Drosophila melanogaster: one gene and its partners. The gene in region 1 interacts genetically with each later gene. Each region holds a gene or a part of one and is shown in the gene's direction. Other genes may lie near its edges. The genes, in order: Antp, pb, lab and Taf3.

Region 1 (4,560 bases):
CTGAATTGTGATTGTGTGCGTGTGAGTGATGGCCTGCATGTGTGCGTGCATGTGATTTGTTGTTGGCGCGCTTCGATATAAACTCGGCCATGATGGTTTTGCCGTCGGCAAGTGGATGTTTGGATGCCATACTCCCCGGTTCCAAGTACCGTATTCCGGGTTCCATAATTCACGGCGGCCATCATTCTCCCGATTATCGAATGTTAGCCGATAATGAGATATCAAAACGTCTAGATATGACTTCATCGGGCAAATCACATTTGCTATACAAAACTGTTAATTATGTATGGTTGTGGTATATTTACAAAAATAATTATTAAAAGATACGTTTATACGTTTATATACCATATCTATAAGCGTTAATTAAGAACATCTAAAAAAGATAAAAAATCGAGACAATCGAAATCAAAAACGTTTTTTACTCTTATAAGTACTTAAGCAGCATAACAATTTACAATTATTTTACATAATAGGCAAACAGAAACTTTCGACCTTTCCATTGCAAAACCCTATTTTAGATTATTTTCACTGGTAAAATAAATAAATAAATGAGTTTGTAAATTAATGATTCAGTCTGAAGTAATCGACGGATTGATACTTTAAAAACTAAAAAGTCAACACAAGGCCTTTAGAGAACCGTATTTGTAAATTGTACAATTATTTTAATTGATTTTATAGAAGGTGGTCTCCCACAAAATGGTAGATTTGACCGCAAAAATTTAAAAACAAGTAAACTGAAGATGTACACATCTTTCACATCGTTACGCTATTTTAAGAAATTAAAAGCAAATGAATTGATTGACCATATAGTCCAGAAGAATGGTTAAAAAGGTATAAAGATATTAAGTTATAAAGATATAGTAATCGCTCTTCGAAATAAAAGTAGAAACTACTCGATAATGCCCAGACAATCGAATTTTAAATAGTTTCGATTTTAGAGAAACTGAAAAGAGCACTTAAGAGAAAGAAACTTAAAATTGAACCTTGCAAAAAATTGTATTTAATAAACCAAAATGAATGAAACAAATTTCTTAAAAACCTAATAAAAAAGTGAAATCAAATATACCAACCAAAATAAATCTGGGAACTGAATAATCGAAAATAACTGGATGTGCATCATAAGATCTTCTTTTGAAGACTGACTACAGTTTGCAGCTCAGCGAGCTCGGGCCGGCAACTCAAGCCGGTCAACTCAAGTCAGGCGCCAATTCGCTGCTCCCACTCGCTCAGCTCTCTCAGTCACTCAAAATGGCAACGAGAGCAGAACGGTTCTTTTGCAAAATACTTTATGACCGGAGCAGAAGCAGAATCGGACCTCTGTCGCGGTCGCAGTCGCTGCCAGTGCTGACGGCGCTGTTGCGGCCGACGCTGACGCACATAAATAAAACGCTCTCTTTCGCTCACGAGTTTCTTATAAGACTTTATTTATATACTGCGCTGCCACCGCTGACTGCGCGCCGCCGCCGCCGACTGCGCTGGATTAATAAGGAGTTCTCGCTGGGATTTTCACATGTATATGCTTTGAATTGAATGCTTTATGGGTTTAGTTTGATAGGAGTCGTAAAGAAATCAACATCACACAACAAAGCACTCGAGGACCCGTCCGTGTTCCGTTGACTTAGCCCACGTGCGACTGTATGTGTGTGTGTGCGAGAGGGATCCCAGCAGCATAACGGTATTCGGTGCCCCGTATTCCGTAGTCGCTATAGCGGCCAATATCTTGGGGCTGGGCTCTCGGAGCTGAACTGAACTGAACTAAACTGAACTGAACTATTCGCATTCGTATTCGCTCGCTCTCCGTCGTCGCGACCGCTCTCTTATCCCAATTGTCAGCCCGCTAAGATCATAAAGGCCGTAAAAATAATCATAACAATAATCGTAAAAAATTAGAACCGCAATCAGTCGCACACTGTCCATCGCATGGCGCAGATCGTCATAAACCCATTATTATAATAATAACCGTAATCGTAACCGTAATCGTAATTGTAATCGCAGGCGCCATCGCATAAACAGCAAACAAAAACACCGTCAGAGAAATTGGAATTGAACTTCGCGCGCGTTTCTTTTTATGATGTTCGAGTGTCTGGCAGGTGTCTGGATTCAAATTAAAATTCATCCACATATTGTGCAATACTACTAATGGATCTGGGCTGACTGTGCTGCAAATGAGCTAGAGTTCAAATTTATCAAGCCAAATCCTACTACCTAAGTGTTTATCTATTCTTAAAAACGCATCGTGCACCGAAAACTCGAATCTGTACAACAACGTTTTCTAGTCCCCCGTAAATCGAGCAATATCTACACACTAGCAACAAACAAAAGCTGAAGCTTTCAACTCAAACCACAACAAATTCAACAGAAATAAAACGTAGACAGCCAAAATAACACAAAAAAAAAATAAATAATAAAAAACAAAATACATAAAACGGAAAAGAATAAGGAGCGGAAAAAGTTTCGATTCCACTGCGGGCAAACTTTTTATTTTGGCGCACGTGCAAGCTACCGTTAGCTGAGAATTCCAAAAGCCAGCAGGATTGAAGGATAAGCGCACGTTATTGGATTTAAGAGGTAAGTGCCAGGGCTCGACTTTTCAATTTCCTCACCTTCTTCACTGAAATCAAAATGGTTATATGTTTCTTTTATTGGCCAATTGGGATTAAAATGTCTTTATTCACAAAAATGGTTAATGCGTTTTGAAAACAATGCTTAAATTGATTATAATTATATTTTACTACAAATTTTATGTTATTTCTGCCTATCCAAACTATTTCAAATATTCAATTTAATAATAATCGTAACTGAAAGTGAAGAAAAAATCTTAACTTTAAATTGTAGTAAAAAATCAATATTGTTAAATAATTGCAAAGGTAATTGTACATGTAATGTAATGTCATCTATGCATACCGTCAAAGAATTATTCGATTGTCACTAAAAATTATATATAATTTTTAAACAAAAATGATTGTGAGGTTCTCTTAACATTATTTTTGAAAAAATGGTTGACATAAGTATATTATGTTACTATTAGCTGTCCATTAAATGTTTGAATAAAATCAATCATTTCAATGAAGCTTACATGGATTAGAATATCAGTCTATGTATATGCCGACGGAAACTTTATACATTTCCAAATACTTGTCTAAATATGTGGAAGTTTTGACATTAATGACTCTGTACAAAGAATAGCGCATCTGTTTCTCGATGTGCAGTGGGCAAGGTATAAGTTTTTTGCCCGAACTCAGATTCAACACTTCATAACTCAAAGGGCGTTTTTCGGAAGCTACAGCCAGGTCATCACTCATTTGGCCTGCAAACTGCAAACTGTTGACAGGCTTATTAGCCATTTGCATAAATTTGCAAAGTGGGAGGAGGGGTGGTGGGATGCTTTCAGGAATCCCGGGAGTTGAAGCTGGAAAACTGAAAACGGAGCTCCGAACTTAACTGGCCACGAGTAATGGGCTCTTTGAACTTGGAATTCGTTTTTGAATTATTGCGCATATCCTGGGCAACATAGTTTCACTTCCGAATGGTGGGAAAGGGCAGCCATTTCTCTCTCAGACACACACGCAAACACATTCATACACACACACACACACACGCACATAGTTGGACGAACAGGACACTCTCGGGTTCTCCGCATAGAAAATTTATGCGGCCATTGTTGCAGTGCATTGTCCTTGTTGTTGCTGATTTTGTTGTTGTCCTAGTTGTCTGGCCTTTGCATATTTGTCGTCCTCTCTGTCTGTCGCTCGCTACCTTTTACCTTTCTCTCTTTCTCCATTCCCGCTCTCTCATTGCACTTGCGCCCCACAGAGGTGCGGAATTTATTCGTAATTTAATAAACATTTAAAAATCTGTTCCATAATTTGGAAAGTATCTCTAGCGATCTGTCCAAAAGGGCTTTAATGAACTTATCCTGGCTTTTACTTTCAGCCTGCTTATCGTTAACACATTTCCATTTGCATTTTTGCCAGCTTCGATTTTTGCAAAATCAAATAGATGGCATCAAATGAAATTATTTTCTCATAATTTATTGATTTTATCAGCTGGAAATGTTACACAGCTGACAAAATCATAAACTCCGTTCTGTTTGCCCGGCAAAAACTTTTATGATTTATGGCCGAGTGACAGACAGAAAAAACACCGATGCAATTGGGAGAAATGGGGGGAAAATATTCAAAATTTGTATGAAAACGCACATTTCCCTAGACTATTTTTGTTTAAGTCCTACAATTCTTTACTAACATATTTAGACCCTTATACATGAGCAACCACTTCCTTTTAAACGGATTCTTAATCAAGTTCACACTCATGGCAAAGCAGCAAAAAGATTTATACATCAGCACACCAATGGCGACAACTCTTTTGTAAAAACATTAATCACGACCTCTGAGATTCGGCCGAAAGCCCAAAACTTAGCAACAAAAGTAAACGAAATTGTTGTTAATAAAACGAATCCAACAAAAAGCTTCAACGAAAACAGCCGACCACCACAAAGAAAACTTGTTTGACTTGCCTTTGAAATTAAAATTATATTTAAGCCCCCATTGATAGATGGCG
Region 2 (4,621 bases), 260 kb from region 1:
ACCACATCTATTCCACTTTCTTCCCAGTCGAGCGAAGATCTTCAAAAGGACGACCAGATCGTAGAGCGTCTCCTTCGATATGCCAACACAAATGTGGAAACAGCTCCACTCCGGCAGGTTGATCACGGTGTCCTGGAGGAGGGTCAAATTACACCACCCTATCAGAGCTACGATTACCTCCATGAATTTTCTCCTGAGCCCATGGCTCTTCCCCAACTGCCCTTCAATGAATTCGATGCTAACTGGGCGAGTTCATGGCTGGGCCTTGAGCCAACGATTCCTATCGCAGAAAATGTAATTGAACACAATACACAGGATCAGCCAATGATACAGAATTTCTGCTGGGACTCGAATAGCTCTTCTGCTTCATCGTCGGATATTTTGGATGTTGACTATGACTTTATTCAAAATTTGTTGAACTTTTAAATATATCTTTGACTATATGTTTAGGCAACTGTACATACATACATATATAATCATTGTATTATACGAGCAATATCTTTCTGTGACTACATTATTATTACTTATTTTGGATGAAATAAAATATGTTTTATAATTAATGTGCGCATTTATTTGTTCAAACAAAAAATGCTGGTTGTGCAGCATTTGGGGATACATTTTGCGGACTCGATTTTCAAAAATTTCACCACCAGACAAATCAAATATTTTTAGACAAAATTCCATTTTAGTGGGCGATACAGTTGAGAAACTAAATAAGCTTGACTTGTTAAAACATTTATTTATATGATATTTATAATGAATGGCCTTGGCTTTTTATTTTACTTAATGCTTCCTCAAAGTTTCTGTATTTTTCACACATATATCTTTTTCACAATTTTAAACAATCTCATGGTGCGCATCGTCATTACGTAGACTGCCGATCACATAGCTCCCTGCTGTCAGACAACTTGTTCGTCAGAGCGTCCAAGTACGAACACCACCCCCAGCTGCAGTGCAAAATCGTGGCAATATTTTTACACCTGTAGTGACACCCGTGTGCATTAAAATCCGCACATAATTACAAACTCTGCGCGGACTGGATTGGAGAACGTTAGCAAAAAGAGGGCGAAAAAGCGGCCAAAAGGCAAAAAGCAATGCCACCAAGATTGACAGGAGAAGAGGCGCCCAAAACAAAAAGAGCGATGAGCGAAGCAAAATGTCAAAAATACCCATAGCCGAAAGCCAAAAAAGCCGGAGAGCGAGAAACTCGCTACTGTGGCTTTTTCTTTTCATTTTTTAGCAGATGCGAAATGTGTAAATAAGAAAAACCAAATAAATTCCGTCACAAGCAACACGTTCGCGTTGGAAGTGGAAAAAAGTGAATGAGGCAAGAAAACGCCGCGGAAATGATGGCCCAAGATACAGGGGTTCCCGAGCTACACGACCGCAAAGATACAAAACAAACTGCCGAGCCGGCCAATCAGAGGGCCGGAGACTTGTGCGCCGGTGTGTGTGAACTCCACCCCCTGGTCTCTGCGCGTAATGGCTATAGTAACCAGTTTCCAGATGGCACCGCGCATGTGCCGACCAGGAAAAAGCGTGATGGATGCGGTGGCTGTCGCTTAGGCCACTCCTTGATACTGGGTCCCAAAATCCCAGTTCAGTGCGTTCGGTGCTATTGGATGGAATGGTTGTTGGCTGCTATCTAGCTCTCGGGAACCGCACGAAGCTCCCCAAAAGCCCTCTGTCTCGCTCTCGCTACGAATCGGTTCGGTATCTAAAAAATAATATTTATTAAAATGACAGCTACAAAAATAGTTCAAAAATTTTGAAAACTAAAAAGTGATATTATTAAAACGAGTTGAAACCAAAAGTTTTACTATACGGTTGAGAAGCACTTTAGGAACCCCTGGAAACCCGGTTCTGCGCACCTCTTGAAGGCCAGAGAGGGACAGCTAGTGCCCACATGTGTATGAGTGCGAGTGGAGAAAACTATCTCAGACGAATTGCAACGACTGAGTGTGTGTCTGTGTGTGGCCATTGCAGCGATCGCAGCGACTCTACAAAACTCTACAAAATCAACACATTCCGCATACGCACCGTTGTACAGCGCGTACTTGCACTATTGTCGTTATCGCCGTTGTTTCGTCGGTTGTGTTGGCCTTTCGCGTCGCCATGGCTGCCAAAAGGTGTGTGTCTATGTCAACCTGAAAGCGAAAAACCAACTCCAAACACCACTTGACGGTTGAGCAAACACAACGGTGGCCATATTTACATTCGGATCTGGGTTCCCTCGCTCTCGTCGCGGTTGTCGCCTCTTTTCGCGGCCCACAGATAAGCCCTGACACACTGAAGTTTTACGCAAAACCCGCATCGCAAAAGTTGTGCCGGTTGAAACTAAAAAAAAAAAACAAACAAAAAGTTAAGCCAGTTACTATGAGCGAGTGCAGACAATAGTGAAAACGGTGACCCAAGTGATACCGGTGAAATTTCCACAAAGAACGCATATGTCAACGTAAGAGGAGAAATATGGAATACTGTGGTCTGTAAATGATCAACTTAATATGGTACGAAATTATCTTACACATATTTCTTACCTACATTTAAAAATAAGTGTATCCTTTTAAAGCACGAGAAAATCAAAGCGTGTCGTTATTTCGTTTTTGATACAACATGTTAGTCTAAAATACGAGCCTTTTAAGTCGGCAAAATGTTTACTGCAAGAAATATTTCAAATCTTTAATTGGCGGAATCGGAAAATATATTCGAATTTTCTTATTCATTTATACTTCCTAGGAAATTAGCTATGCGGCATTTCTTAGATGAGGATATGTAACAGCTTTATAACTTTTTCTGTTTAAAATATGTTAATTTATTTACTGACTATTAATCCTTAAAAAAATAATGTAAAATAATGTATGCGAACCAAGCCAATTTAGGTAACATTGTAGGACAGGTTGTATGTATTGTACATACATACAATACATATTGTCAAATCTCAATCGAAATTAGGTGGCCATAAATTTAAAGTGAAGGCCTAACAATTTCTATAAGAGCAATAGTAAAAATGCAGACTACAAATGAATTTCTGGCACAGAAAACTGAGAGACTAATGAAATATAAATTGGAATATGTAATTTAAAAATAGTCAAGTTTTTGACAGTTGCAATGTGAAAAATTGGATCGGTAATAATAAAATAAACATTGATTAGCATAGTAAAGTGACGATGTTTTTGTTTCTTAAAATGTTAATGAAGATAATGACATATCTTAATGAAGTATATACGTACATTATATTGAAATTATATATATTCAAAATATATAAATAAAAATTCAAAAATTATAAATATAATAATAAAATAAACATTGAATAGCATAGTAAAGTGACGATGTCTTTGTTTCTTAAAAGGTTAATGAAGATAATGATAACATATCTTAATGAAGTATATACATACATTATTCAATTTCACATTCGATAAGAACAGTGAAACCTCTAACTTCCTGGGAACTGAATCGTGATAACATTATTATGAGATTACAAAAATGGCTTTCCTTTCCAGGTTCCCAAGCTGAGGAACATCTAATACGCTCAGGAATTGAAATAGAAAGAATCTAAAAAAAATTATACCCAAGCTATGCAAGAAGTCTGCAGCTCCTTGGACACGACCTCAATGGGCACCCAAATCAAATCGGAATCTCCACTCAACCCGCTGCAGGTGCAAACTGGACAGACGTCCCTGCCAGTGGGTGGTTGCGGTGGTGCGGGCGTCGTGGGTGGTGTGGGTGGCGTGGGAGTGAGTGTTGGTCAGCCTGGTATCGGACAGCAGGGGGTGCCACCTGTGCCGTCGGTGCTCATGGTCAACAAGATGACCCCGAACTGTGATAAACGGAGCGCGGACACGGCCTATTGGATGACAGCATCCGAGGGCGGGTTCATCAATTCGCAGCCGTCGATGGCTGAATTCCTCAACCACTTGAGTCCGGAGAGTCCCAAAATCGGAACACCTGTTGGATCCGGCGCCATTGGCGGAGTAGGCGTCAACGTTAATGTCAATGTCGGCGTCGGAGTCGGATATCCGGTTGGCGTTGTCCCTCAAACGCCGGATGGAATGGACTCGGTGCCGGAGTATCCCTGGATGAAGGAGAAGAAGACATCCCGCAAGAGCAGCAACAACAACAATCAGGGTAAGTCCACATGCACATTACACTGGGGGAAGCATAAGGTTTTTAATTTAGCGATCGACCATGTCAATTTGAACACCATTCTCTGAAGAATAGGCGATAATCTCATCAGTCCATCTCAAACTATTGAATCAATCAAATAAAAAGTAAGATATTTTTATAGACACTTTTCCATATCAGTTTAGACCGGAATCAATTGGGTTCTCTTGTCCCGGCCATTTTTTCTTGCCGTGTACTGGCTGGTGAAATGCGAAACTCTCATTAATCACGAGCTCACAGAAACCTAAAGACTCCAATAGCGCCAATTATGCCACTACGAAGTCCCTCTGGCACCTGGTTTCGAAGTGATGAAGAAAGAGCCAGTGCTTTCGCTGACCATTTACAAAATGTATTCCGACCAAATCCCTCTACCAACACATTTATTCTCCCTCCTTTAATAGCAGCCAATCTAGATCCTCAAGAACCCTTTGAATTCCGACCATGTGAACTAGCAAAGGTT
Region 3 (4,754 bases), 320 kb from region 1:
TAGTTTCAGGCTTGGAATCGGGATTGGGCCGTGGTATGTTAGTTGTATATGTACATACATATGTATGTGATTACTGAAAGATACTCGCACACATCCTGTTACTATTAATTGCTGCTGTCCGAAAATATAACAAATCACCTTGGAGCGTTGGGCAGGACCGCCCGAAAGGACGAAACGAATGGCCACTCCAGCCGACCTCCCCCTCCGAAATTCCCCGTGCGAGTGTAGAGACAAAAACTTGTGAAAATGTCAATCAAGTTGAACAAAAAACGAAAAATTCCCAATCCGAGAGTGGAAGGAGCGAACCTCGAAGTTTTCCAGACAGCCAAAGATGATGCATTGTGCGTGAAAGGTGCATGAAGATATCTGACGGTTGTATCTCTATCCCTGCCAAGTGACAGACCCATACACCGGATAACTCTTAGGGGGCGCCTACGAATTGCATCCCACTGAGTCAGAGTCAAGGTCCGGAGATAATGTCAGGATTCGGGGTCTGTCGGGGTCGGGGAAGTCGTTCGACGACGATTTAAATTCAACAGTGCTGCCATAGATGAGCTGTCATATGTGCAAATGACGATTGACAGCTGCCACAGTCAGCATCCGTTTGCAGCTCCTCCTGGTCGCAACCCCGGTCCGCTCCCAAGCCGAAAACCCATTCCGAGTGCCCGGTTCGCATTTCCAATCCCATAGCAAGCTCCTCTTCTTTACCTGTCCGTCAATTCATTTGGGAATTTCGAGGTGCTAAAACGTGCCAAAACCGCAAAACAAACACACAACATTGGGTTTCCAGTTAAAACAAGACGTCGACATGAGCATGGTCAGGGGCGTAACTTTCAATACTATCAGCAGGCGGCAGGGGTGGATTAACTTGGACACGAACTGGGCCCAAAACATGTGCGAAAAGATTTTCGGGGCGAAGAGTTGTCTACTATTTAGTATTAATAAATACACATTTTATAAAGAGAATTTAATTACACTTGAGAAACCATTCAGATACTTTTAACAGAGAGTACTTTAAATAATACCTATATAAGGAATTAAAAACAATAATAACAACAACAATTTTTTGGATTAGAGCATAGTTTTGAATTAGTTTAAATTAGAAATAAATGGTCTTTATATTTCCCGACTTCCATATATGGCGAAGAAGACTTCGAGTAAAACTATTATGATGATAAGAAATAGTAAGTTTTTCTAATTGGCATACGGGAAGTGAATTGTCAATTGGATGTTTCAAAACATTTTAAGTAAGATCTAGAACAAGTTTCTTTAAAATGCTTAATGTTCTTAGGTGGACCGACGATCTATATAAGTGTTTCCCATTAATAAGGATCATTTTAGAGATCTGATCATCCCCAGCCAGTTCCACACCAGCTCATTGCATAATTTCAAGTTCCTTCATAGAACTCCCATCTTGAGTAGCCGTCAATCCGCTCCTGCCATGGCGACTAGCAAAAAAAAAACGAGCAAACAGGGAACGAGAAAATCTAAATGGAAACGGCAACTGCCAAAAACCGGTAGTTGAAATACGGGTATTTGTATATACGTATGACTAACCCCCGAACCACTGATAAGGGCAGTCATCCGAAGAATCCCAGGGAGCGAGCGAGACGGCAGTCGCAACACGTATGTAGCACACACGAGAGGAAGCGGGACCACAGGCAGTCTGCAGAGGGGCGTGGCCAAGACCAGCGGTTGTGCGGTCTGAAAGAAACCGGGTTCGGGCCAGTAATCAGTCACGACTTGGTAAGCGCGCAGGCAGCACGTCGTCGTCGTCATCGCCAACGGGAGTCGTGTTTTTCGGTTCGATACAGATAAAACCCACGTCGATAGCCCTCGACCGTCGCGTAATATTCTTAGAAAGCAAACAGCTAAAGAACTATTTCAAGAACTGTGTGGCAAGTGAAGGGTAGTTAGTGATACACCGGTTATATCGGAGTGGCGAGAAAGTGTGGTTCCGGCTGGACAATATGATGGACGTAAGCAGCATGTACGGCAACCACCCGCACCACCACCATCCACATGCCAATGCCTACGACGGCTACAGCACCACCACCGCGTCGGCGGCCAACGCCAGCAGCTACTTTGCTCCGCAGCAACACCAGCCCCACCTGCAGCTGCAGCAGCAGCAACAGCATCAGCATTTGCAGCAGCCCCAGCAGCACCTCACCTACAATGGCTACGAGAGCAGCTCCCCAGGCAACTACTATCCGCAGCAGCAGGCGCAGCTGACACCACCGCCCACCAGCAGCCACCAGGTGGTGCAGCAGCACCAGCAACAGCAGCAGGCGCAGCAGCAACAGCTCTATCCGCATTCGCATCTCTTTAGTCCCAGTGCGGCGGAGTATGGCATCACCACGAGTACGACCACGGGAAATCCGGGCACGCCGCTCCATCCTAGTAGCCACTCTCCGGCGGACTCCTACTACGAAAGTGACTCGGTGCACTCGTACTACGCTACCGCCGCAGTGGCCACAGTTGCTCCACCCAGCAATAGCTCACCTATTACCGCCGCCAATGCAAGTGCCACCAGCAACACACAACAACAGCAGCAACAGGCAGCAATCATCAGCTCCGAGAACGGGATGATGTACACCAACCTGGACTGCATGTATCCCACGGCCCAGGCTCAGGCTCCGGTTCACGGATATGCCGGCCAGATCGAGGAGAAATACGCCGCCGTCCTGCACGCCAGCTATGCACCCGGAATGGTGCTGGAGGATCAGGATCCAATGATGCAGCAGGCCACGCAGTCGCAGATGTGGCACCACCAGCAACATCTGGCAGGCAGCTATGCCCTAGATGCCATGGACTCGCTAGGAATGCACGCCCACATGCATCACGGCCTGCCCCACGGACACCTGGGCAACTTGGCCAACAATCCGCATCAGCAACAGCCACAAGTCCAGCAGCAACAGCAGCAGCCGCACCAGCAACCGCAACATCCGCAGAACCAATCCCCAGCGGCACACCAGCAGCACCACCAGAACTCCGTGTCGCCCAACGGTGGAATGAATCGCCAGCAGCGCGGGGGAGTGATCTCCCCGGGTAGCTCCACTTCCTCCTCCACCTCCGCCTCGAATGGAGCACATCCTGCCAGCACGCAATCAAAGTCGCCAAATCATTCCAGCAGCATCCCCACCTACAAGTGGATGCAACTCAAGAGGAATGTTCCAAAGCCTCAAGGTAAGTTGAGCTAGAAAGTAAACTCGGAATAGGGTTTCAATGGTTGAAACAGGCTCAAATTACTACGTCCCGAATGATTTTATTCCGTTTTTCTTTCCTTAAATAATCGAATTTTTATTCCCTTCTTTAAGTATTTTAGAATTATATAATAAATAAGGTAAATATAATAGAATACTGACACAAAAAAATGCTCCTACTGATATATTCTCTAAATAAATCAGATGAATATATAGGGTTCGGTTACTTTAAAAAATTGAATTCTCTTTATTTATTTTTAACACTGATCAAGTAGTCGTTTGATATTAAATACCTAATTAAATGCTAATTGAAACTATTGCAAATTTATATTCGTGGACATTTCGAATGACGCGAGTTGTAGAGGCGTATAGTGAAAAGGTCTTGTTGCAAATTTAGAACCAATAGATTAACCCAAGTCGTTTTATCAAGCGCTACAATTGCCTTCTTTCCTTGTGAATGGATACAAATACATTTAATTTGTGCAATTTTTATTCAAGTTGTTCGCACATTCGCAATGTCTGCATTCTAAGGGCAACTAAACGCGTCTCATTAGGCAAAGTCTCTGGCAATTAAGAAACCGCATTCTTAGCTAATTGCCATATTTTAACTCTTATAGTTCTCTAAACTCGTATAGTTCGCTCAATAGATCACATATAGCTTACGGAATGTATTAAGTTAATCGGACAGTTATTATGGAAAGAAATACACACACTTCTATACATACGTATGGTGATTTTTTTAAGAAAAGCATAAGAAAGAACCTCAAGTAAATACCAAAAAGCGTAAAACGATGACTTTCAAAACTGATTGACAGGCCAAGATACAAGAATCAGTCAACCAGTAAAACCAGAAGAAGATGAATAAAACTGTGAAAGAAATGACGTCGAACGAGCAGATTAAACAATATTATGAGTACATTTATAAGTTAGAGAACTTGGCCATCAAGAATAGATTGATCATAAGTATGAACAATTAGCACTGCAGAAATATTAGCAAACATAAAACAAGTGGATGCGTCAGACAAAATGTCAAGAAAGACGTCCAACCGAGGGCATGTCACCTAAAAATATTCCTGTCTCTTCAAATGCCAAAGATTTCGCCCACCTCTGCCCTCGGCTCTACAGCCCCCGGCTACAGAATCTCGATTCTCCCCGACCTCCACGCCCCTTTCCGCCTCTCATAACTGTCGCCGTTCTCCTGGACTCTCCTCCTTTGGCACATTTCTTGCATATTTCAGATAATTTTGTCAATGCCTGTGCAGAGTCAGTCAGGTTGTTACTTGTCACATTGGCGAGTGGAGTTTTGTATCTCGGAATTAGCCAGCTAAGAAAATGTATTCGCTTTGATAAAAAAGATCAGAAAAGTCCATATTGTATGCGATAAATAAAACGTCGTCGATTATCCAAAAGAAGCAGCTGCCACTGAAAAAACGAGTATTTTTATTGATACTTCGTGAATTGCATAAAATTCGAGCGTAAGCCTTTAATTGCTTTTCAAAGAGTTTGAGGTCAGTCGAATAAATAAATAAATAGCAACTAACTGAATGGGGG
Region 4 (8,034 bases), on another chromosome or scaffold:
ATATACATGTTCATCATCATCATATAAGTACATATGTGAATTTGTCCGCCGATCCTAAAACATGCGAATTGGCGCCACAACTTACAATTATTACATACATATGTAGAAATTTAGTTTTAATAGGTGGGAACACAAAAAAACAAAATTTTTAAGGGTTGGACAAACGTTTTTAATTCAAAATACTTATTTTAAAGGATGGGAAAACGAAAAAAACTAATTTTAAAGGATGGACAAACGATAAAAACTAAGAATACTGATTGGGCAAAAGTTTTTTTTTATAATATTTAGTTTTAAGAGATGGTCAAAATAATAATACCGAGGTTAACTAGAACGTCTCATATTTTCTAAAGTATTCACTTTTTCAAAATTGAAAAGAGTGGCCAAACGTGGGCAAATAAAGACAACAAATGAGCAAACGATTCCAGCTTTTAAATTTCAAAAATTCCATTTTTTCGACTCCAGCTTCTTTGAGCTCGTACATTATGCGCAAAATGAGAAATCTGCGCACTGAAGTGTATTCGTGTTTTTGCTAGTGGTTGATTGATTTTTTGTGACCGTATGAATATTGAGGGTGCGTCGTCGTTGGAGCAAGCGTCGCAACGGCATGAAACAAACTCTTACAGACTCTGTGACTGAGTCTTAATGCTTAATATCAATATTCTAGTTTTCATTGTTCCCGAGATCACAGCGTTCAGATTGATAGTCAGACGGACTAACCAGTTACTCGATAACTGACCGACTGCATATGAAATCTTCAGTATATGTAAGGAAATACGATACCTATACACCTATTATGGTTAACATAGGTGTAAACGTGTATTCGTTGGGAATCAGATTATCCACCCTTACCTGATTCTTAAGAGTTTCGTCAATGTGAATGGTAGACGTCTTCCGAATCATGTCATGAGAATATTTAAAGTTAACGGGTCCTAAGATCCCGCTCTCTATGAAAAAATGTTTTGCTTTATCAATGCTCGAGTTCAATGGTTGCATTTTTTAGTTCTTATTAGATTAAAAAAGGAGTAAAACGTTGGTCAGATCAATGTTGATGGAGATCTTCTTACTCATTTATACTGAGTATTTCAATAACTAGCTGAAAAGTTTAAAGGATTTGAGCTTTAAGTAGAATAAAACTTTTTATTAGACTTACACATATACCCAACACATGCAAATGTTCATATAGTTGTTTTATTTGTTAATTTTTATATTTTACATTATTACAAATACAAAATATTAAGTGCCGAAGATCTGTCGCACGCTTCTTTGTGTGAATACTCGACTAGAACATATATGGGAAACAATACCTAACCCAATAAATGTCTTAAGATATAAGTTTCTTCTAAACTGATCGAAAATATAACTAGTATTCTATCAGTAGTTTTGTGTCATTATACATTATACCCTCTTTCCACTAAATTACCTGCATATATACACATGTTTGGGATATAGTTCACATGATATTTTTGAAGCGATTTTAGGCTTAATGTTATTTTATTAAATTTATATTTATATATATTATTTATATTTATAATTATATTATTATTTATTCGGTAATTTCATAGCTGTTCTGGGCATTACTTTCTTTCCACAATAAACATAACATTAGATGCTGTTAAAATTTGTAGTAAGTAATCGTAGTAATAATAGTAATAGTAGTAGTAAAACTAAAACATTTTTACGGGTAACAACACAAGACTCTCGTTTCACTCTGCATTCAAGCGCTCTATTATTAAACAAGCTCTAATTATATTTCCATCGTTCAATATCTATTTTAAAGAATAGAAGGATTAGAAAACTTTTTCGTCTTATTTTCAAAATTTGTGTCTTATTCGAACACTAACAGCGAACATACCGAAAGCAAACCTTTTATCTGCCCTTATAACCACTTTCAAACCACATAAAAAATTGCAGTTTGTTTATGTTGGTCAATCAATTGAATTTGATTGAACCCCATGATTACCACTTTTGGCATACCCCAAATATCGATATATTTCCCATCAAAGGCAAAATCGATAAGTTATCGTTAACTAAACATCCACAGATTGTAGTTCGTCTAATAAAGGTGTAGACACCAAGTCAATTAATTTTAATAACAAGAGGAAGTTCGTGGGACGGTTAAACCTATTCACAGCATTTCCAAGGTTTTCTAAAGAAGGTGTACCTCATGAAAGAACATGATGGCAGACAGATACGCTTCAGATTTGGCCCTTGTTGTCGTTGCGCAGATAACGCAAACTATTGGTTACAGCTGCACTCTAAGTGCACCCTTGGAGTTGTTGCAAGACATATTGCAGAAGTTTGTACAGGAGTTCGCTCGAGACATGCATAGACATATGGAACACGGTAAGTGGTATAGACCCTCAAATCAACGGAACCGATCATGAAATACAACAAAGCCTGAGTAGTTATAGTCGTTACTTGTAGAATAAGAGATTCAATAAAAAGTATGTGACATATATGTACATGTACATAAATGTATAACTTATCATCCCTGCAGTTCCATCAGACTATCATTAATAAATCATTATTTATCATTAAAACAATTTTGTTTGGAGTTAGGGCATTTTGCTTTCAGTTGCGTTAGAATACCGGTCAACCTGTCCGTTTAACCTTAAAGTAAAATATATTAGTATAATGTGTACAGAAATGTATTACGAAAAATGTACATCGCTTCTGCGAGTAGTACGTGTTGTTGCGTGTAAAATGAATCCATTGCCATTGGAATTTCCTGATTAAGCTCGCGCCTGCTACTCGCATAAATCTAGTCCCAGTTATCCGCGAAAAAGGAAGCGTGCCTCTTAGAAAAGTAATCTTTTAATTTATTTCTTTCTTTTATTGTTATTTCCCTTTTCCTCGCCCAGTCCCTTTCACCTACATCAGTATATAATTTCTCTAGTTCCGATGCGCATTAAAAATTTAAAGTTTCTTACGAAACTTATGTGCTCGGCGACTTAGAGCGTCAGCTTAGCATTCGGCTGGAAATAAAAGATCCATAATTTATTGCTGATTCCCTGCTTGTGGCTGTGCAGCCAAAGCAGTTGGTACTGTGGGCGAAACCGATGATCTTGGGATGTTTTTAAGGAGCGATGAATTGTGGGACTGCCGGGGTCTCGATTGGGGATTATGAAACCTCAATAGGCATGTAGATTGTATTTTTTGCAAATTATTATTTCATTAATTGTCTTGTAAACACCAAAAAAAAAAAAACAATAAATCTTTGATTTATATATATCTTAGATTAAGATATATCTTAGATTAAGATATATTTTAGATTAAGATATATCTTAGATTAAGATATATCTTCCTTGTAACCACCGGAACAGAAATAAAAATAAATAGTTGAGGAACTCGACTAAAGCGTTCTCTTATATTTTCTTTTTAATTTTGCTTGGTATGTTACTTAATAACGTTATTTATATGAGTTCAAAAAAATCTTATTAAAACCAAACAAAAAATCAAAAATGCTTTGTTTATTTGGATAAAATTTATAAAAATATTAATTGACAAGTATATATATTACTAATTTAGCAAATCGGATAGAGCCGAACCTTAAGGATGCACGCTTAAGTATAAAAAATCTCAGCATCAATGTTCAAGAACTATTGGACTACATAGGTAATGTCGAGCCTGTTGGATTCATCCGGGATGTACCACAGTTTCCCATTGGAAAATCTGTAAACATGAACTTCCTTAAGCCTGGAAGCGCTGAAACTCTAACGCGACCTGTCTACATATTTGAATACTTGCCACCAATGCAGGACCCCGAACTTCGTGAAATTCCAGCCGATGTTCAAAAGGAATTTTCGGAAAAGCAAGAGTTTTGTTCAAAAGCAGAGTATAGTTCAACAAACGCAGCTGATAAGTTAGGCGCCAAGCACATTGATTCTATCTCTCCTAATACTGTGATAAATTTCCGGTCGAATGCCTTTGAATTGGACGTTGGGAGCTCAGTCCGCGAAATGAGCAGCGTGGTAATGACAACAGGGGGATTCATAAGTCCAGCTATTGAAGGCAAGCTCCCCGAAGATATCATACCGGATATAGTTGGTACGACCTATCCTTATACCACAGCTTAATAAATTTTCATGTATCGGTGTTTATAGAAAAATTTTTAGGTTTGGATGCACCCTTTTCACCGACGATAATTGTAAATTCGTTACAAAAATCTCCACAACTGGCGCTTTCTGACAGAGACAAAACAGTAAATCCACGAAAAATCATTCCCTCAGAAACTAAAATCTTCAAACAAAATGCTGCATTATTGACAAGTGGACATTCAGAGTCTTCAATAATATATGCGTCTAACAACCATACGATGCTAACTGTTACAACACCTAAGAAGAATAGAAAACAGAAACATGATTTAATATGCGAACCCGGTCAAAGCGAACTTCTAACTAATCCGTTTGAAAAAGCTCAGGAAAAGTCACAGAGAAAAGCTTTAAAAATGTATAAACAAACCTCAAAGAACCAAAGAGACAGCTCAATTAATCAAATACAAAACATGAAAAAGTTAAAAAAAAAATTTAACCGCGGATCCTTCGATCCAAATAAAAAACATTTAGAAAAAATATTTAAGAAGCAGTCCAAACTTAAGCAAAATGATCTTCAACTGGACATCGACGAAAAACACTTTTTGCAGAATTCTCAAACTACGAGCGGCCTTGCCATAAAAGCTAACTCAAATGAAAATGCTTTACAAGCTGATATCCCTAGTCAGCCGCCAACAGTAACAAGCCAGATTGAAAATAATTTTCGAAATTCAATTTATCCAGTGCAGCCATCTGTAATTCAACAAACGCAAGTGCTATTGGCAGAAAAAAAAAGTGGATCAGAACCAGAACGAAGTAAATTGGACATTTTTAAGAAAATTTCTAAGCCACGTACTCCACGTCCAGATATTGGGGCGACTTTAGTACCTCCTGGAACCGGGGTATCTGTATTTGGAAGCACAATGACCCCTTCAGCATTAATTAGTCTTCCATCGGGGACTACTATAACTCCTACACCTTCACTTGGTCTAAATTCTGAAAACAAAAACGTTCCGAGTATGAAAATCAACCCTTGCAATATATTCGATGGAACTATACCTTTAACTAAAGCAGGCGTTGAAATGTCAATTATTGATTCGCCAAAGCCAAAAAAGCGAGGTCGCAAACCTGGAGGAAAAAATGTAATAAAACAAACAAATGTTGTATCGCAACCTTTAATTAATAAGGTCGAACGGAAAAAGTCAAGCCAAGCTATTACACTGCCTCTATCATCATCTCCAATGATAATAACCCAAAGTTCTTTAAACGTCTCCCCGCCAACAGAACCTCTCAACTTGTGTAATACCGAACAGCCCTCGAATAATTTTTTGTCAAACCTGTATGCAAAAGAAAAAAAGGACAGAAAAAAGTACAAATCATTACCAGAAAATGTAATGCAATTAGACAAGAGCTGTTCTCCTGAAAAGGCATCAACACTACATAATTCTATTCGACCCACAAAACAAAATAATGATGTACAATGTTCAGATAAATTTGTGACTATATCCAATGCTTTGTCAAATGCATCAATTTACCCTGGAATTCAAACAGGAATGGTTCCGTTGCTTCCTTTATTGCAATTTCCACCACGACCTGGTCTTATTCCTACTGGACCTGGGCTTTTTCCTGCAGTCACTGGTTTAGTTGGCTTCGGGAATCACGGTAACAGAATACCTATTTCGCCGTTCATAGATTATCCTGGACCAGAAGAATCAGTTGCGGATACTGTTCGATGTCCACCAATTAAGGATTCTCCTGGTACGTCAAATGAGTTATTTTTATACGCATTGCTCGTAGTATATATACGTAGTATATATTTTCGTGACCAGGATCAATAGCCGAGTGGATCTGATCCTGTCCTGTCCGTCCGTATGAACGTCGAGATCTCATGAACTATAAAAAGCTAGTAGGTTGAGATTAAGCATAAAGATTCTAGAGACATAAACCCAGCTGAAGTTTGTTGACCCAAACTTTACTTTACCATACCAGTTCGAGTATCACAGCTCGAAGAATATATTGCTTACATAAAAGTCTCGGCAATATCTTAATTCATTACAGCAAAAATACTAATCTGAAACTAATCATTGAACCGTTGAATGTAGAAAATAGGTATAGGTACACACTCAAGAAGTGGTATTGGGAAGCTTCTAGATGGGTTAGTATGAAATATTTGCGTTTGTCATAAACTAGATATTTGGAGGAGCTCAAATTTTTTTTTTATATTGACAATACGTACCTACCTACAATATGTGAATTATTTGTCGACCAAAATATTTAAATATTTATAATGATTAGAAAAAATAATTTTTAGTTACTGATTCTGATCAATTTCTGAGCCGATCTTCCACGCAAACTGACTTGCAAATGGATCGAAACTACTGCAATGTTGCTCCATTAGTACCTGACTCAATGAAATTCGCCGAGTGTAAGTTTAACGGTAAATATATTTGTAATTTAAAAATAACTTATTACTTATATCTGTAGGTAAAAGCGTATCTTGTGCCAGCACAATATTGGAAAACCCATCTGCACAGGCTACAAGCAAAATAAACACGAAACCGCTTTTGGAGGCTTCTGGAAATCCTGATGATCCAATAGAGGTTTCAGATGATTCAGATGAATCAATGCACAACAGGCAGATGGTTCAAAGAAAAACCCCAATATCATCACCAACTTATGTTAAAACCAGCTTCGCAGAACTAAATCCCTCCTCGTTTACGTCAGCTGCATCTAATGGTGAAGAAAAATCCAAAATGGATCTAAGGAATATTGTGTCTCTAAGCTCTAACGAACCACTTAAAAAATTTAAAAAACTTGTTAAACAGAGTTTTCCCGATGTAAAAAGCGTACCCCACACGCCAGCTTCACATTCATCATTTCCACAATTTAACTTGCCTAATTTTATGGGAGGTGACAAATTCAGTTTAGCTGGGGGAGCAGATCTTATTCCTCTGTCGAGAGTGAGTGATTCGGAATATTCCTCCAAAATAGTACCATTCAGTAGCTTAGGTGGAACCATACCGAATCAAATCAAAATTTCAGAAGAGCACAATATTTTTTCTACCTTTTCTAACTACGAAGATATTACAATAACACCAACTGGATTAACGTCGTTGGAACCGAAAATGCGGAAACATCACAAAAAGCTAAAAAAGGTTAAAGAAGGGAAAAATAAAAAAAAGAAAGAGAAAAAGGACAAATCAAAGAAAGCGGATCAGATTGGCTTACCATCTTTCAAATCCGACCGGAAAATAAAGGCCAATGATAAAAGGCAAAAAAAAGAAAAGAAAAAGGATAAAGATAAGCAGGTTTGTGTCAATTCTTTATTTATAAAAAAATAGGTGTTCGTGTTGTGGTATTTGGATCAGATATGTAGATACGCCGGAGCTGATAAGCAACCTTTGCGATAAGTACGTACACAAACTCATTTGAAAACAGCAAGTTATGTGGGAAACATTTTTAAAATCATGAATTCTGTGAACATATTCCGTATAATAACATTAAATTATGCATTATGCATTATACATTATACATTATGTTCCAAATTTGTATTAATACTTATATAGACTGTTGTGACTAATTATAACATCGAAGCCTACAGCTTGGTATAGGTACAAAAACATCTTAATCCTACATAAACATGTAAAGCAGCCAAATCTTTTAAAGTTATATTTTTAGTTCTTACAAATTTTATTTTAGTCTATACACATATCTCAGCAAAATCTTTTAAAGTTAAATTTATAGTTTAATCAATTCTTATTTTAGATTTTAGTCCATATACCAGATGACACAGAAGAATTTGACAAGGTGCCTTTAGCTAACAACGATGAACCTGTATTGAAATCAAGTTCCATGACAATAAATCCATCGTTAGGTGCCGCCACAAGTGGAATATCTCCAAATCAAATACCAAAACTAACACTAAAACTTAGTGGAAAATCTACATTATTTTCGTCTTCAGAAAAGGAGATGACAGATGCAGGGAAACTAAAGCAAACCACGA

Evidence for each region.
Region 2: of Antp (region 1) and pb, changing one suppresses a phenotype caused by changing the other (phenotypic suppression), as found in Drosophila melanogaster (one study listed by BioGRID).
Region 3: of Antp (region 1) and lab, changing one suppresses a phenotype caused by changing the other (phenotypic suppression), as found in Drosophila melanogaster (one study listed by BioGRID).
Region 4: of Antp (region 1) and Taf3, changing one enhances a phenotype caused by changing the other (phenotypic enhancement), as found in Drosophila melanogaster (one study listed by BioGRID).

The regions. Positions count from the first base shown.
Region 1 is NT_033777.3:6,996,214-7,000,773, reverse strand, and holds the start of Antp (antennapedia), read left to right. Parts: upstream 1-1,545; 5' UTR 1,546-2,568; intron 2,569-4,560. UniProt on the Drosophila melanogaster protein: Sequence-specific transcription factor which is part of a developmental regulatory system that regulates segmental identity in the mesothorax. Provides cells with specific positional identities on the anterior-posterior axis.
Region 2 is NT_033777.3:6,739,054-6,743,674, reverse strand, and holds the start of pb (proboscipedia), read left to right. Parts: upstream 1-1,611; 5' UTR 1,612-2,507; intron 2,508-3,500; 5' UTR 3,501-3,575; coding exon 3,576-4,125; intron 4,126-4,621. Other genes in the region: zen2 (zerknullt-related), read left to right, coding at 1-426. UniProt on the Drosophila melanogaster protein: Sequence-specific transcription factor which is part of a developmental regulatory system that provides cells with specific positional identities on the anterior-posterior axis. Controls development of mouthparts, and labial and maxillary palps.
Region 3 is NT_033777.3:6,675,563-6,680,316, reverse strand, and holds the start of lab (labial), read left to right. Parts: upstream 1-1,726; 5' UTR 1,727-1,970; coding exon 1,971-3,186; intron 3,187-4,754. UniProt on the Drosophila melanogaster protein: Sequence-specific transcription factor which is part of a developmental regulatory system that provides cells with specific positional identities on the anterior-posterior axis. Required for proper head development.
Region 4 is NC_004353.4:460,810-468,843, reverse strand, and holds the start of Taf3 (TBP-associated factor 3), read left to right. Parts: upstream 1-2,015; 5' UTR 2,016-2,174; coding exon 2,175-2,343; intron 2,344-3,528; coding exon 3,529-4,047; intron 4,048-4,103; coding exon 4,104-5,789; intron 5,790-6,342; coding exon 6,343-6,456; intron 6,457-6,515; coding exon 6,516-7,339; intron 7,340-7,430; exon of another isoform or gene 7,431-7,796; coding exon 7,797-8,034. Other genes in the region: CG33941 (uncharacterized protein), read right to left, coding at 850-993.